3 linked regions of the Xenopus tropicalis genome follow. The protein of the gene in region 2 interacts with the protein of the main gene of each other region in a pairwise test. Links are inferred from orthologs where the notes say so. Each region holds a gene or a part of one and is shown on either strand. Other genes may lie near its edges.

The links.
Region 1: the proteins of sumo1 (region 2) and etv6 interact in a two-hybrid assay, tested with the Homo sapiens proteins (2 studies listed by BioGRID). The link is inferred for Xenopus tropicalis from reciprocal best matches to the Homo sapiens genes SUMO1 and ETV6.
Region 3: the proteins of sumo1 (region 2) and setx interact in a two-hybrid assay, tested with the Homo sapiens proteins (2 studies listed by BioGRID and IntAct). The link is inferred for Xenopus tropicalis from reciprocal best matches to the Homo sapiens genes SUMO1 and SETX.

What each region holds. Positions count from the first base shown.
Region 1 is NC_030679.2:8,142,645-8,146,858, reverse strand, and holds the start of etv6 (transcription factor ETV6), read right to left. Parts: upstream 2,801-4,214; 5' UTR 2,609-2,800; coding exon 2,582-2,608; intron 1-2,581. UniProt on the Homo sapiens protein: Transcriptional repressor; binds to the DNA sequence 5'-CCGGAAGT-3'. Plays a role in hematopoiesis and malignant transformation.
Region 2 is NC_030685.2:52,313,296-52,317,280, forward strand, and holds the start of sumo1 (small ubiquitin-related modifier 1 precursor), read right to left. Parts: upstream 2,801-3,985; 5' UTR 2,697-2,800; coding exon 2,685-2,696; intron 1-2,684. UniProt on the Homo sapiens protein: Ubiquitin-like protein that can be covalently attached to proteins as a monomer or a lysine-linked polymer.
Region 3 is NC_030684.2:11,767,689-11,771,735, reverse strand, and holds the start of setx (probable helicase senataxin), read right to left. Parts: upstream 2,801-4,047; 5' UTR 2,563-2,800; intron 2,415-2,562; exon of another isoform or gene 2,298-2,414; intron 1-2,297. UniProt on the Homo sapiens protein: Probable RNA/DNA helicase involved in diverse aspects of RNA metabolism and genomic integrity.

The DNA of each region.
Region 1 (4,214 bases), on a different chromosome or scaffold from region 2:
TAGCCCTTGGCCTATACATATCAGTGAATCTCTAGGTACACTGCTGCTCACAGCAAAAAGGGCCCCTGATAAGTTAACTGTGGAGAATATGGGGCCACAGTCTAAGGGGAAAAAAATGTAATCCAGGGACGTACAACCTGCAGCCATCCATCTATTGCAGAACTACAACTCCCATCATCCCCTGCGCCACAGGGTGGACAAATGCCCCTTTAGACCCTACCCTAACGCTACTGCTGCTATGAACCAGACACCTGCAATTCCCCCCCCCGTGCCAGCCTTATTATCCCAGGGCACCGTGGGCACAGAAGCAGGAGGAAGAGCGGGCACACGTGGTGCCAACACTTATTTTTAACCAGGAAATGGAAATTTCTTCCTTAAAGCGGCAGCCAAGAGAGAGAGAGAAATTACACTTACACAATAGAGGTGGAAATAGTCTTCTCTTTCCCCATGACATAAACACTCTATGGGGTTAACTCTTTCAGGGTACAAATCTAATCACATATCCCGCCATTTATAGTAAGAGAACAACACCCTTGGTTCTGCAGGGGATGCTGGGAGATGTAGTTCAGGAAGCAGATACTGCAACTGCTGTCGGCCCTGGAGTGTGGCTTTGAAATTTATTTTATTGTTGGGCTTTAGTCACTTCTAATTATGCCATTGTTTCAAGGGATATAGCCCCCCCTTGTCAGATTAACAATAACACTTTTTTTTTAAATTGCAAGCTCTTGGGATTAGACACCTCTAACAAGGTATGGGACCTGTTATCCAGAATGCTCGGGACCTGGGGTTTTCCAAATAAGGGATCTTTCCATAACTTGGATCTCCATAACTTAAGTCTGCTAAACATCATTTAACCATTAAATAAACCCAATAGGGCTGTTCTGCCCCCAATAAGGGGTAATTATATCTTAGTTGGGATCAAGTACAGGTACTGTTTTATTATTACAGAGAAAAGGGAATCATTTAACCATTAAATAAACCCAATAGGGCTGTTCTGCCCCCAATAAGGGGTAATTATATCTTAGTTGGGATCAAGTACAGGTACTGTTTTATTATTACAGAGAAAAGGGAATCATTTAACCATGAAATAAACCCAATAGGGCTGTTCTGCCCCAATAAGGGGTAATTATATCTTAGTTGGGATCAAGTACAGGTACTGTTTTATTATTACTGAGAAAAAGGATATCATTTTAAAAAATTAGATTTACTTATAATGGAGTCTATGGGAGATGGCCTTTCCGTAATTCAGAACTTTCTGGATAACCGGTTTCCGGATAAGAGATCCCATACCTGTAATATGTTCTATTACCGGTTAGGCCTGTAACACAAAGGCCCCAAACCATTACTTCCTGTCTCCTATGAAAATCAGATTAGCTACAGGGGTCCCCCCCTAACTTTCCCCTATATTTATGGTTTGAAATGGCAGTAATTACCATTAAAAGCACATTCCGTCTGCTGTCTATATTCTTTCATTAAGCAAGTATTTAGGTGAAGCTCCCCTTAACAGTAATGACCCCCTTCCTTAAGGGTAAACTTGTACAAAAATACATATTAAAAATACTCAGTAAATAGATATACAGAATCCTCGGGGTAAAATAGAGACCATCTGTGCCGGGAAACCCAGCACTGCACTTACTACTTCAGCGAATGAGCAGCTTTACTCACAATAATGCAGCGATCATAGGAATAGTACATAGGGGCAGCATGGGAAAAGTTTCTGAGAAGTGCGGGGTAAATAAGAGAATAGGAGATAGATTGTATCTGTCAGAGCAGCGAAGCCTCAGCATTGAGCCCATAGCAACGTGTGGGGGGAAAGGCTTCCCAACCTGCAGGGGTTCCGGGGCAGGAAGGGGCACTAAGGCTGCTGGGTAGGGGTACTAAGGCTGCTGGGAAGGAGTACTAAGGCTGCTGGGAAGGGGCATTAAGGCTGCTGGGAAGGGGTAAGGAAGGGGCACTAAGGCTGCTGGGAAGGAGTAAGGAAGGGGCACTAAGGCTGCTGGGAAGGAGTACTAAGGCTGCTGGGAAGGGGCACTAAGGCTGCTGGGAAAGGGCACTAAGGCTGCTGGGAAGGGGTAAGGAAGGGGCACTAAGGCTGCTGGGAAGGGGTAAGGAAGAGGCACTAAGGCTGCTGGGAAGGGGCACTAAGGCTGCTGGGAAGGGGTAAGGAAGGGGCACTAAGGCTGCTGGGAAGGGGTACTAAGGCTGCTGGGAAGGGGCACGGAAGGGGCACTAAGGCTGCTGGGAAGGGGCACTAAGGCTGCTGGGAAGGGGCACTAAGGCTGCTGGGAAGGGGTAAGGAAGGGGCACTAAGGCTGCTGGGAAGGGGTAAGGAAGGGGCACTAAGGCTGCTGGGAAGGGGCACTAAGGCTGCTGGGAAGGGGCACTAAGGCTGCTGGGAAGGGGTAAGGAAGGGGCACTAAGGCTGCTGGGAAGGGGTAAGGAAGGGGCACTAAGGCTGCTGGGAAGGGGTAAGGAAGGGGCACTAAGGCTGCTGGGAAGGGGTACTAAGGCTGCTGGGAAGGGGTAAGGAAGGGGCACTAAGGCTGCTGGGAAGGGATATGGAAGAGACAGAGACACTCACCTTAATGTAACACTGAGCTGAAGACATTTCCAGGAAACAGAGAGTCGTTTTTTAAGGATAAAGGGGGGTCGGGGGGGTTGCAGCGAGGGGGGGCGCCCCCTTCCCCCTCTGGGAAACAAAAACTTAGCACATTGTAGTCCAGGGGTGCAGCTGGGGCTTCAGGGGGGCTCTCCTTGCACTTCTCCCAGCAGGGCAATCCTGTTGCTTGGGGCTGATGGGAACTGCTGCCCCTGCCGCTCTGGGGGGATTTCTTTCCTCTGGTTTCCTTCCTGGAAGAGAGAAACTACAGGCAGAAGTGAGTCTCCCCCCTTCCTCCCTCCGGCTCATTGATCTTAAAGTGTGCAAGTCCTGAATCTGACGTGAATTCCCAGCACTCAGCACTGCCTCTTAAAGGGACAGTAGCACCAGGAAGCAGCCCGAGCCCATACAGGGAAATGCCTGGGAGAGAAAAGAAAGCAAGTGGGGGAGGGGAGGGGGAAGGGCGGGAAGGGCTGGGGGGGGGGAGATGGAGGAAGTGAGAAACAAAAAAATAAAAACAAAAAAAACCAAAGGGGCAGAGGAGGAAGGTTAGGGGGATTGGGAAGGAAGGGGCAGGGGGATTGGGAAGGAGGGCAGGAAGGGCAGGGGGGATGAGCAGGGGAGGAAGGGCAGGGGGGTTGGGCAGGGGGATTGGGAAGGAGGGCAGGAAGGGCAGGGGGGATGAGCAGGGGAGGAAGGGCAGGGGGGTTGGGCAGGGGAGGAAGGGGCAGGGGCAGGGAGATTGGGAAGGAGGGCAGGGGAGGAAGGGCAGGGGGGATGGGCAGGGGAGGAAGGGCAGGGGGGTTGGGCAGGGGAGGAAGGGCAGGGGGGTTGGGCAGAGACAGGGAAGGAAGGGCAGGGGGATTGGGAAGGGGCAGAGGAGGAGGGGCAGGGGAGAAAGGGCAGGGAAGGAAGGGCAGGTGGATTGGGAAGGGCAGGGGAGGGGTATTGGGAAGGGGCAGGGGAGAAAGGGCAGGGGGGTTGGGAAGGGGCAGAGGGGGAAGAGCAGGGGGGTTGGGAAGGGGCAGGGGAGGAAGAGCAGGGGCAGGGGGGTTGGGAAGGGGCAGGGGAGGAAGGGCAGGGGGGTTGGGAAGGGACAGAGGGGGAAGAGCAGGGGCAGGGGGGTTGGGAAGGGGCAGGGGAGGAAGAGCAGGGGCAGGGGGGTTGGGAAGGGGCAGGGGAGGAAAGGCAGGGGGGTTGGGAAGGGGCAGGGGAGGAAGAGCAGGGGCAGGGGGGTTGGGAAGGGGAGGGGTATTGGGAAGGGGCAGGGGAGAAAGGGCAGGGGGGTTGGGAAGGGGCAGAGGGGGAAGAGCAGGGGCAGGAGGGTTGGGAAGGGGCAGGGGAGAAAGGGCAGGGGCAGGGGCAGGGGAGGAAGGGCAGGTTGGAGGGGTAATGAGTAAATGCAGGAAGAATTAGGAAGGAAAGTGAGCAGAGAGGGGGAGGGGGGCAGGGAGTTGAGGGACATGGGGGGGGGGGGGGACACTGGAGGACAGAGTACCATAGAGAAGCCAATATAGGGGCACAGAGAAGGATCCTTAACATCTAAATATATATATATAATATATACTGAGCTCTATCAGTTCTCAGGGGCTGAAAGGTACAGGGATTTGCCCCT
Region 2 (3,985 bases):
TAGGGAAGGTCTTTGTGGCCTTTCACAAACTCGGCCTAGCTGCCAATTGATTTACATCCTACAATGAAAACTGATGAGACACCAGGGTACCTATACATCTGCATGTGCAATTTTAACTGCAATCGCCTAGTTTTTTCCACAATGCAATATTTTTCCCAGAATTCCAGCATCTTTGCAGTTGCAAGAGTCAATGTGCTTGGTGCAATTGTGTTGTGCCTTAGTTCACAAGACAGGAAGGACTGAGCTGTGCCAAGCACACCTACATTAAAGTTTAAAGGAGAAGGAAAGGCTAATAAAGAGTTAATCCCAAACTGCAGGCATACCTTCAGTTGACTCAATAGTGCCCTTAAGTCTCCCCATACTTCACCTGTTCAGAAGATCAGAAGCCAAACAGGAAAAAAAAACGCTGAGCAGGGTAGAGAAGATTCCCATAATGCAACGCTCCTGCCCAGACTTGGCAACTTGGGACTGTAGGCAGCGCATGCGCACACAGCAGGAGCGTCTGGTTGCCATGGCGACGCAGCCGACAGGAGAACTCTGCTCTGTGACATTCAGACCTGGCAGGTGGGGGGAGCGGCAGAGGGTTTGTGGCAGGAGCGGGGAGCCGGGGGAGTTGATATGCAGTGATGCATCTGCATTTGTGACATGCAGAGCCGGCAGGTGGGAGGAGCGGCGGGGGGTTTGTGGCAGGAGTGGGAAGCGGCGGAGGGTTTGTGACAGGAGCAGGGGGGGGGGGGTTGTGGCAGGAGCGGGGGGGGGTTGTGGCAGGAGCAGGGGGGGGTTGTGGCAGGAGCAGGGGGGGGTTGTGGCAGGAGCAGGGGGGGGTTGTGGCAGGAGCGGGGGGGGTTGTGGCAGGAGCGGGGGGGGGTTGTGGCAGAAGCGGGGGGGGGGTTGTGGCAGAAGCGGGGGGGGGTTGTGGCAGAAGCGGGGAGCGGTGGAGGGTTTGTGGCAGGTGAGGGGATCGGAGGGGGGCTGGCTTGTGCTTTTCAGCAATAGCCCATACAGACATGCTGGACAAGATGGCGGCGCCGTTCACTGAAACAAGTATGTAAGTTCTAGTATGTGTATCTCTGTAAATATTTCATTGGGCAAGCCAGAAATATAGCGTTTTTACACAGCAATAGTAGTACTATTTAATAGTGTGCTTAATAGATTTCGACTTTCCTTGTCCTTTAAGAAGCGCATTTTCACTTACGTACCTCAAATGAAAGTGGTTTTACACACAACTAACTGCGCGGAAGTTAGAGACTGAAATTACACTTGCAGAGATAATTTAGGAGCCCTACTAACTCTTCTGCACATCTTGGAAAAGCACCCAGCAGTGAATGGAATTGCTCAATGGTGCTAGCAAAGTATTTAAATTTTTTTTCAGTAAAGCTGTACAAAAAGCAACTTTTCAGACACTATTTTAGAGGTGTATGATGAAATGGGAATACTTGTTCACACATACCCACAGACTGAGATACAAAATAACAGAGTGATATACATTTGACACAAATGCATGTACGCAATGTTGCCCTAAATGTAAGGCAATAAATACCAATAATGGGAAAAACAGCTTTCAACAGAAACATCTGCGTGCATCACTGGTATTTAATCCGTCGCACCATTGAAAGTGCACTTAATTGGGCCAGACAGAAATTTGGGGCTCCCAGTGGTCCCCATGCCCACATGAATGCGGCATCAGCAAAGTTTGAAGTGACAGGACTAGCTGGTACTGCCCAACATCACAGGGATCTAATCATTTTGGCCTGTAGTCCACTTGAATGTTTAAACCGTCACCCTTTAGGTGGCTGCATTAAAGATAAGATTGGGATCCTAAACTATGAAAGTCATGCAAGAAAACAAGATGTGCTTGAACATTACATACAATATAAACAAGCAGAGTGTACTACAAGAGATCAATCGTTAACTCCCACATACCTACACACAGCTTAACATGATACCTCCCCTGGGTAATGGGAATTACCACTACAATTAAATTAACATGTGTATACGTGTGCAGCGGTGTTTGTTTGGAAGGGTTAAACGCGATTGTTATATTTTCAACCAAACATAATAATGTATCTACAAACACTTAGTGGATGCTCATAAATAGACTTAATTTATGTACCTGATAGTTCTGAAATGCTTTGAGCTCTTCCAGGCTAACAGATTTACCCTACTGTAACAAATCAATGCTGTGTGAGACCCCATAAGGCTAAAGCTGCTGAAACTTGTTAGGTTAATATATACTTTATATAGGTCAAATAACTATATGGGCCAATATATCTCTGGCTTTCCTGTTAGGCCTCTCACTTCGCCAACCACCACTGGGCAATTACTCACAGATAATAACATCTACAGGAGAAGATACACATACTGGACAATAAGACATAAAGCAAATTACACGACACACAACGGGGTGTGGGTCCTATAGAGCAGTTTATCCAGCAAAAGTGCACAGCAGCAGAAACCCATAGCAACCAGCTCTAATAGTCTAAGTGTCGTATAAAATGAAAGTAAATGACTTAGCTGCCGCCCTTGGTTATGGGCCGCATGTACTACTTTAGCTGCATATTAATGTGTAGCCATGAGACCTACTTGTTTACATCTACAAGCAGGTCTCCAGACACACAAAACAAGACACACACGTCCCAGAGACTTTCTCTCGTTCTCCCGCCCACTCCACAAAAGTGTCTCACCTGATCAGACATGCTAACTGCTCTCGGCCGGTATCGGTTCGCTACACTGGACCGCTCTACGCTTTTCCTTCCTCCGGGCACAATAACAGCACAAGAGAACCAGACAAGGAAGGTGTTCCGGTTCTTGGGAATGACCTCATTTCCGATACATGCGGCACCGCCCACATTTTGCTGACGCGCACTGCTGCGGCTTGCGGCAAATGGTAGGGGTATGCGCTTGCACAGACGCTGAGCACTAGGTGGCGCTTTTGTGTCCATATTGTAATGCGAACGTCAGCCTTTAACCATTGATATCCAGTGTTTTTTCTGTATAGAGCATTAACCTCTCCAAAGCCGAGCATTAATAGTAGGCGTCTAATGGCTTTGGCACTGCCAGCCTCACATCATTAAAAGGCCCCGTTACATAGTAGATTGGCTTTACCTGGCTTTACGTGGCTTTTGACGTTTTAGTAGGTGATTCTTAACCTTTTTGGTTGCGTCGCATGATTGAAATTGACCACAAATGTTTATATAAACTGGTTAAATGAATGAGCCAAATTACAGACAATTGCTTATATGAAAAAAAAATTGGTTATCTTATCTTGTCAATCTGATCCCTTGAGAGCCCCTGATGCCTCTATATTAGAGGACACATTGGGAAGAGACTAAATAACAGATACCGAGGCATAGGGTGGGTGGAGAATAGACATAATTATCAAAATTGTGTGAATAAACCTTACCCGCGCTTCTAATAAATTTATGTGTAGTTCGTGAAAGACTAATATTATTCTAAAAAACAAATTAAATTACCCAACAACAATCCTCTTACCCAAATAGTGAATAGAATATCATAAATAGCCTCCTTCCTCCAAACTAATCCTCACAGTGAATATATAAATATTATAACAAGGAGTTAGCGCTAAAAAAATATACCACCAAGTGTAAAAATTCTATAATATTTTAATTAATCATTAAATCAATACAAAAAGATACAAGTCATAAGTTAAAAGATACAATAGGATATAGTGATAATCAAAAACAGTTCGTTAAAACTAAATTGTTGGCCCTATTAGTTCATTAAAAAAGTGAACTAGGATAAATGAGGATGGTACAATAAATACGTTTAGCTTTTTAAATGACTATTTATGCACGTATTTATTGTACCATCCTCATTTATCCTAGTTCACTTTTTTAATGAACTAATAGGGCCAACATTTTAGTTTTAACGAACTGTTTTTGATTATCACTATATCCTATTGTATCTTTTAACTTATGACTTGTATCTTTTTGTATTGATTTAATGATTGATTAAAATATTATAG
Region 3 (4,047 bases), on a different chromosome or scaffold from region 2:
CCATCAGTCTTCTTGGATGTTCTGCGACCCCTTGGAGAGGTCTCTGCACCCTTGCAGTTACTTTGGTAGGCCAGCCAAGGCAAGATTTGATATAATGTTCTCTTCACGGTTATTCTATGGAGTCCAAAAGCCTGAGAAACTGACATTCTTTGACTAATCATCTCTTCTGGAAATTTCTTTAGGGTGACATTACATCTTTGTAGAAACCTCTGGTTGAATACTTTGCTCCCACGTTATTGGGAGTGTTCTGTGTTACCAGGCTATAGACTCTCATATTTCTAGTAGACACTAAATCTGGATGGTTTGCAAATATAAATGACGTACCTCTTCTTTTCCATAGCAAAGAATGCTTCATGCAATGTTTTCTGCCTTTTAGTGTGTTCAGATTTCCTGTGTTACAAAACCACTGCTTCCTGTTGTCTACTTTTCTGTCAGAGAGCTGATGAAGGTTGTTATGATAACCAGAAATCTGGGTACAATGTTTTGTAACAAGTGGGAATTTAAGGTCAAGCAATACTGTGCTCTGCTCGGAGCATTCATTTGGAAAAATAGACCGCGCTCACACTTACGTCGATTCCACAACAGGTGTCACATAAATGGTTGCACAAGAGGCATCCTGAGGCATACTGTACAGATGTTCTCCTGGCCAAACAATGTAGCTTCAAGCTCAGGCATCCCTTTTTTTAACTCCTCCTAGCCAATCCCATTATGCCACTTGCTACAGAACCTACTTTCTCCATCATTCGGACAGCAACTCTCTTTGGAAAGTTTTCTAGCAGCTTCTCCCTCCTTGGCAGCCCCTGGCTTCTTCCTCACTCCACCCTCCAGCAACACCTGGCTCCTGCCTCACCCATTTTCTAGCTCCAGTCTACCTTTGGCACAGCCGAGATCCTTCAGTCACTATGGCAGCACACAGCTCATGCCACCCCTTACTTGCATTCAGCTCCTGCCTCACTTGGCAGCACCCGGTAGATCCAATTGCCAGTAAATAGGTCCCTCGACATCACCAAGCCCCGACTCTTCCCACTTCCCATTGCAGCATTTAGCTTCTGTCTACCTTTAGTATCGCACTAATTTCCGGAGGCAGCACCCAGTTCCTCCCCGAGGCAAAAAGACAGCTACTATACTTTCACTTTGCATCAAATGGCTGTCTACGTTTCACACAACCAAGATCCTTCCTGCCACTTAGGAGCAACCAGCTGCTGCCCATTCACTTAGATGAATCCACCTGGTGGTTCTCCCCACTGCAGCATCTAGCATGTCGACCTCAGCATCACCCAGCTCCTATAGATCCAACTGCTAGTACTTCCGTGTCTTCATGTGGCAGCACCCAGCGCCTGCCCCTCACTCCATGGCAGCGCCCAGCACCTGCCGACCTCAGCATCACCCAGCTCCTGTAGATCCAACTGCCAGTACTTCTGTGTCTTCATGTGACAGCTCCTGCCCCTCACTCCGCGGCAGTGCCCAGAACCCATAGATCCAACTGCCAGTACTTCTGTGCCTTCATGAAGCAGCACCAAGCCCCTGACACTCCCTCTGTGGCAGCACCCAGCACTTGCCACTCACTGCCTGGCAGTACCTAGTGCCTGCCTCATCCACTGCTAGTTCATCACAATATCTCCCTTTGGCAGCACCCAGATGCAGCCCCACTGCCTGGCAGCACCCAGATCCTGTCCATGTTTGGTATTACTTAGATCGTTACCTCCACATGTCAGCACCCATCTCTTGGCTCTCCCCCCCCCCCCCTGCAGCACCCAGCTCTTGGCTCTTCCCCCCCCCCCCTGCAGCACCAAGCTCTTGGCTCTTCCCCCCCCCCCCCCCTGCAGCACCCAGCTCTTGGCTCTTCCCCCCCCCCTGCAGCACCCAGCTCTTGGCTCTTCCCCCCCCCTGCAGCACCCAGCTCTTGGCTCTTCCCCCCCCCCCCTGCAGCACCCAGCTCTTGGCTCTTCCCCCCCCCCCCCCCCCCTGCAGCACCCAGCTCTTGGCTCTTCCCCCCCCCCCTGCAGCACCCAGCTCTTGGCTCTCCCCCCCCCCCTGCAGCACCCAGCTCTTGGCTCTCCCCCCCCCCTGCAGCACCCAGCTCTTGGCTCTCCCCCCCCCCCCCTGCAGCACCCAGCTCTTGACTCTGCCTATCGCAGCAGCAGCTCCTGTAGGCAGCACCCAGCTCCTGTAGGCAGCACCCAGCTCCTGTAGGCAGCACCCAGCTCCTGTAGGCAGCACCCAGCTCCTGTAGGCAGCACCCAGCTCCTGTAGGCAGCACCCAGCTCCTGTAGGCAGCACCCAAACCATTACTTTACCTTGGCAATAGCCAGCTCCAAATGCCGGGTACTCAGCAACATGTGCTGCTGCCAGCTCCTCCATTCCCCCTGTAGCACCCAGCCCTGCCTTGTACTATCAGTAGAGCCAGAAGCCAATGCAGCAGGAAGACATTGCAGAGCTATTTTACCACATGGCACATAAGGGCAGCCCAATAACAGCCGCAGCCCCAGTGCCCCTGGGCCACAATGCGTGGCAGGGAAACCCATTGGCGCTTTCTGCCAGGAGCCCCCGCCTCCCCCTTACCGTGCCCGTGTCCGCCTTCTGCCTGTCAGCCCTTTCCCGCCATTCCATTTGCCGCCGCTTCTTCTCACCGGGCTTCCCCTGAGGCCTACTGCATTCTGTCACACCGGGGATTTGCCCAACTTATTTATACGGCTCCCCTCACTCCTCCTTGGCCCTTACAAGCGCCGCCCATGTGGAAGTGACGTTCCAGGCCACGCAATGTTTACTCGCATCACTTTGTGCCCCTATCACATGCTGCCCAGGGTGGCCAGGTTGGCAGGTAGGCGGGTTTCCCGCCACATTGGGCCACTAATTTAATGCCCTGGCGAGTTTCCAAAGTACAAACCCGCCAAGGAACAGTTTTGGTCTATTTTTTTGGAGCCTTGGCGGGTTTGTAGTTTGGAAACTAACCAAAGTTTTTTTTCCCCTGCTCCACTGCATGCTGGGTAATGTAGTTTGTCTGTAACAATTAGCCTACAGCTAGGATTAATATAAAACTACAATACCCAGCATGCAATTGGGCAGTATAGACAGAGGTTCTGTTTTGAATTCTTTTTTGCTTTTTCAGGCTCAACCTGTCTGTTCTGCAATCTGCTCCCTGCTCTATAGGGTATGTGATTGTACTGTTACTTTCTACTGGGATGTGGGGCAGTTCTACCCCCTGCTCCCTGCTCTATAGGGTATGTGATTGTACTGTTACTTTCTACTGGGATGTGGGGCAGTTCTACCCCCTGCTCCCTGCTCTATAGGGTATGTGATTGTACTGTTACTTTCTACTGGGATGTGGGGCAGTTCTACCCCCTGCTCTATAGGGTATGTGACTGTACTGTTACTTTCTACTGGGATGTGGGGCAGTTCTACCCCCTGCTCCCTGCTCTATAGGGTATGTGACTGTACTGTTACTTTCTACTGGGATGTGGGGCAGTTCTACCCCCTGCTCTATAGGGTATGTGACTGTACTGTTACTTTCTACTGGGATGTGGGGCAGTTCTACCCCCTGCTCTATAGGGTATGTGATTGTACTGTTACTTTCTACTGGGATGTGGGGCAGTTCTACCCCCTGCTCTATAGGGTATGTGACTGTACTGTTACTTTCTACTGGGATGTGGGGCAGTTCTACCCCCTGCTCTATAGGGTATGTGACTGTACTGTTACTTTCTACTGGGATGTGGGGCAGTTCTACCCCCTGCTCCCTGCTCTATAGGGTATGTGATTGTACTGTTACTTTCTACTGGGATGTGGGGCAGTTCTACCCCCTGCTCCCTGCTCTATAGGGTATGTGATTGTACTGTTACTTTCTACTGGGATGTGGGGCAGTTCTACCCCCTGCTCTATAGGGTATGTGATTGTACTGTTACTTTCTACTGGGATGTGGGGCAGTTCTACCCCCTGCTCCCTGCTCTATAGGGTATGTGATTGTACTGTTACTTTCTACTGGGATGTGGGGCAGTTCTACCCCCTGCTCCCTGCTCTATAGGGTATGTGACTGTACTGTTACTTTCTACT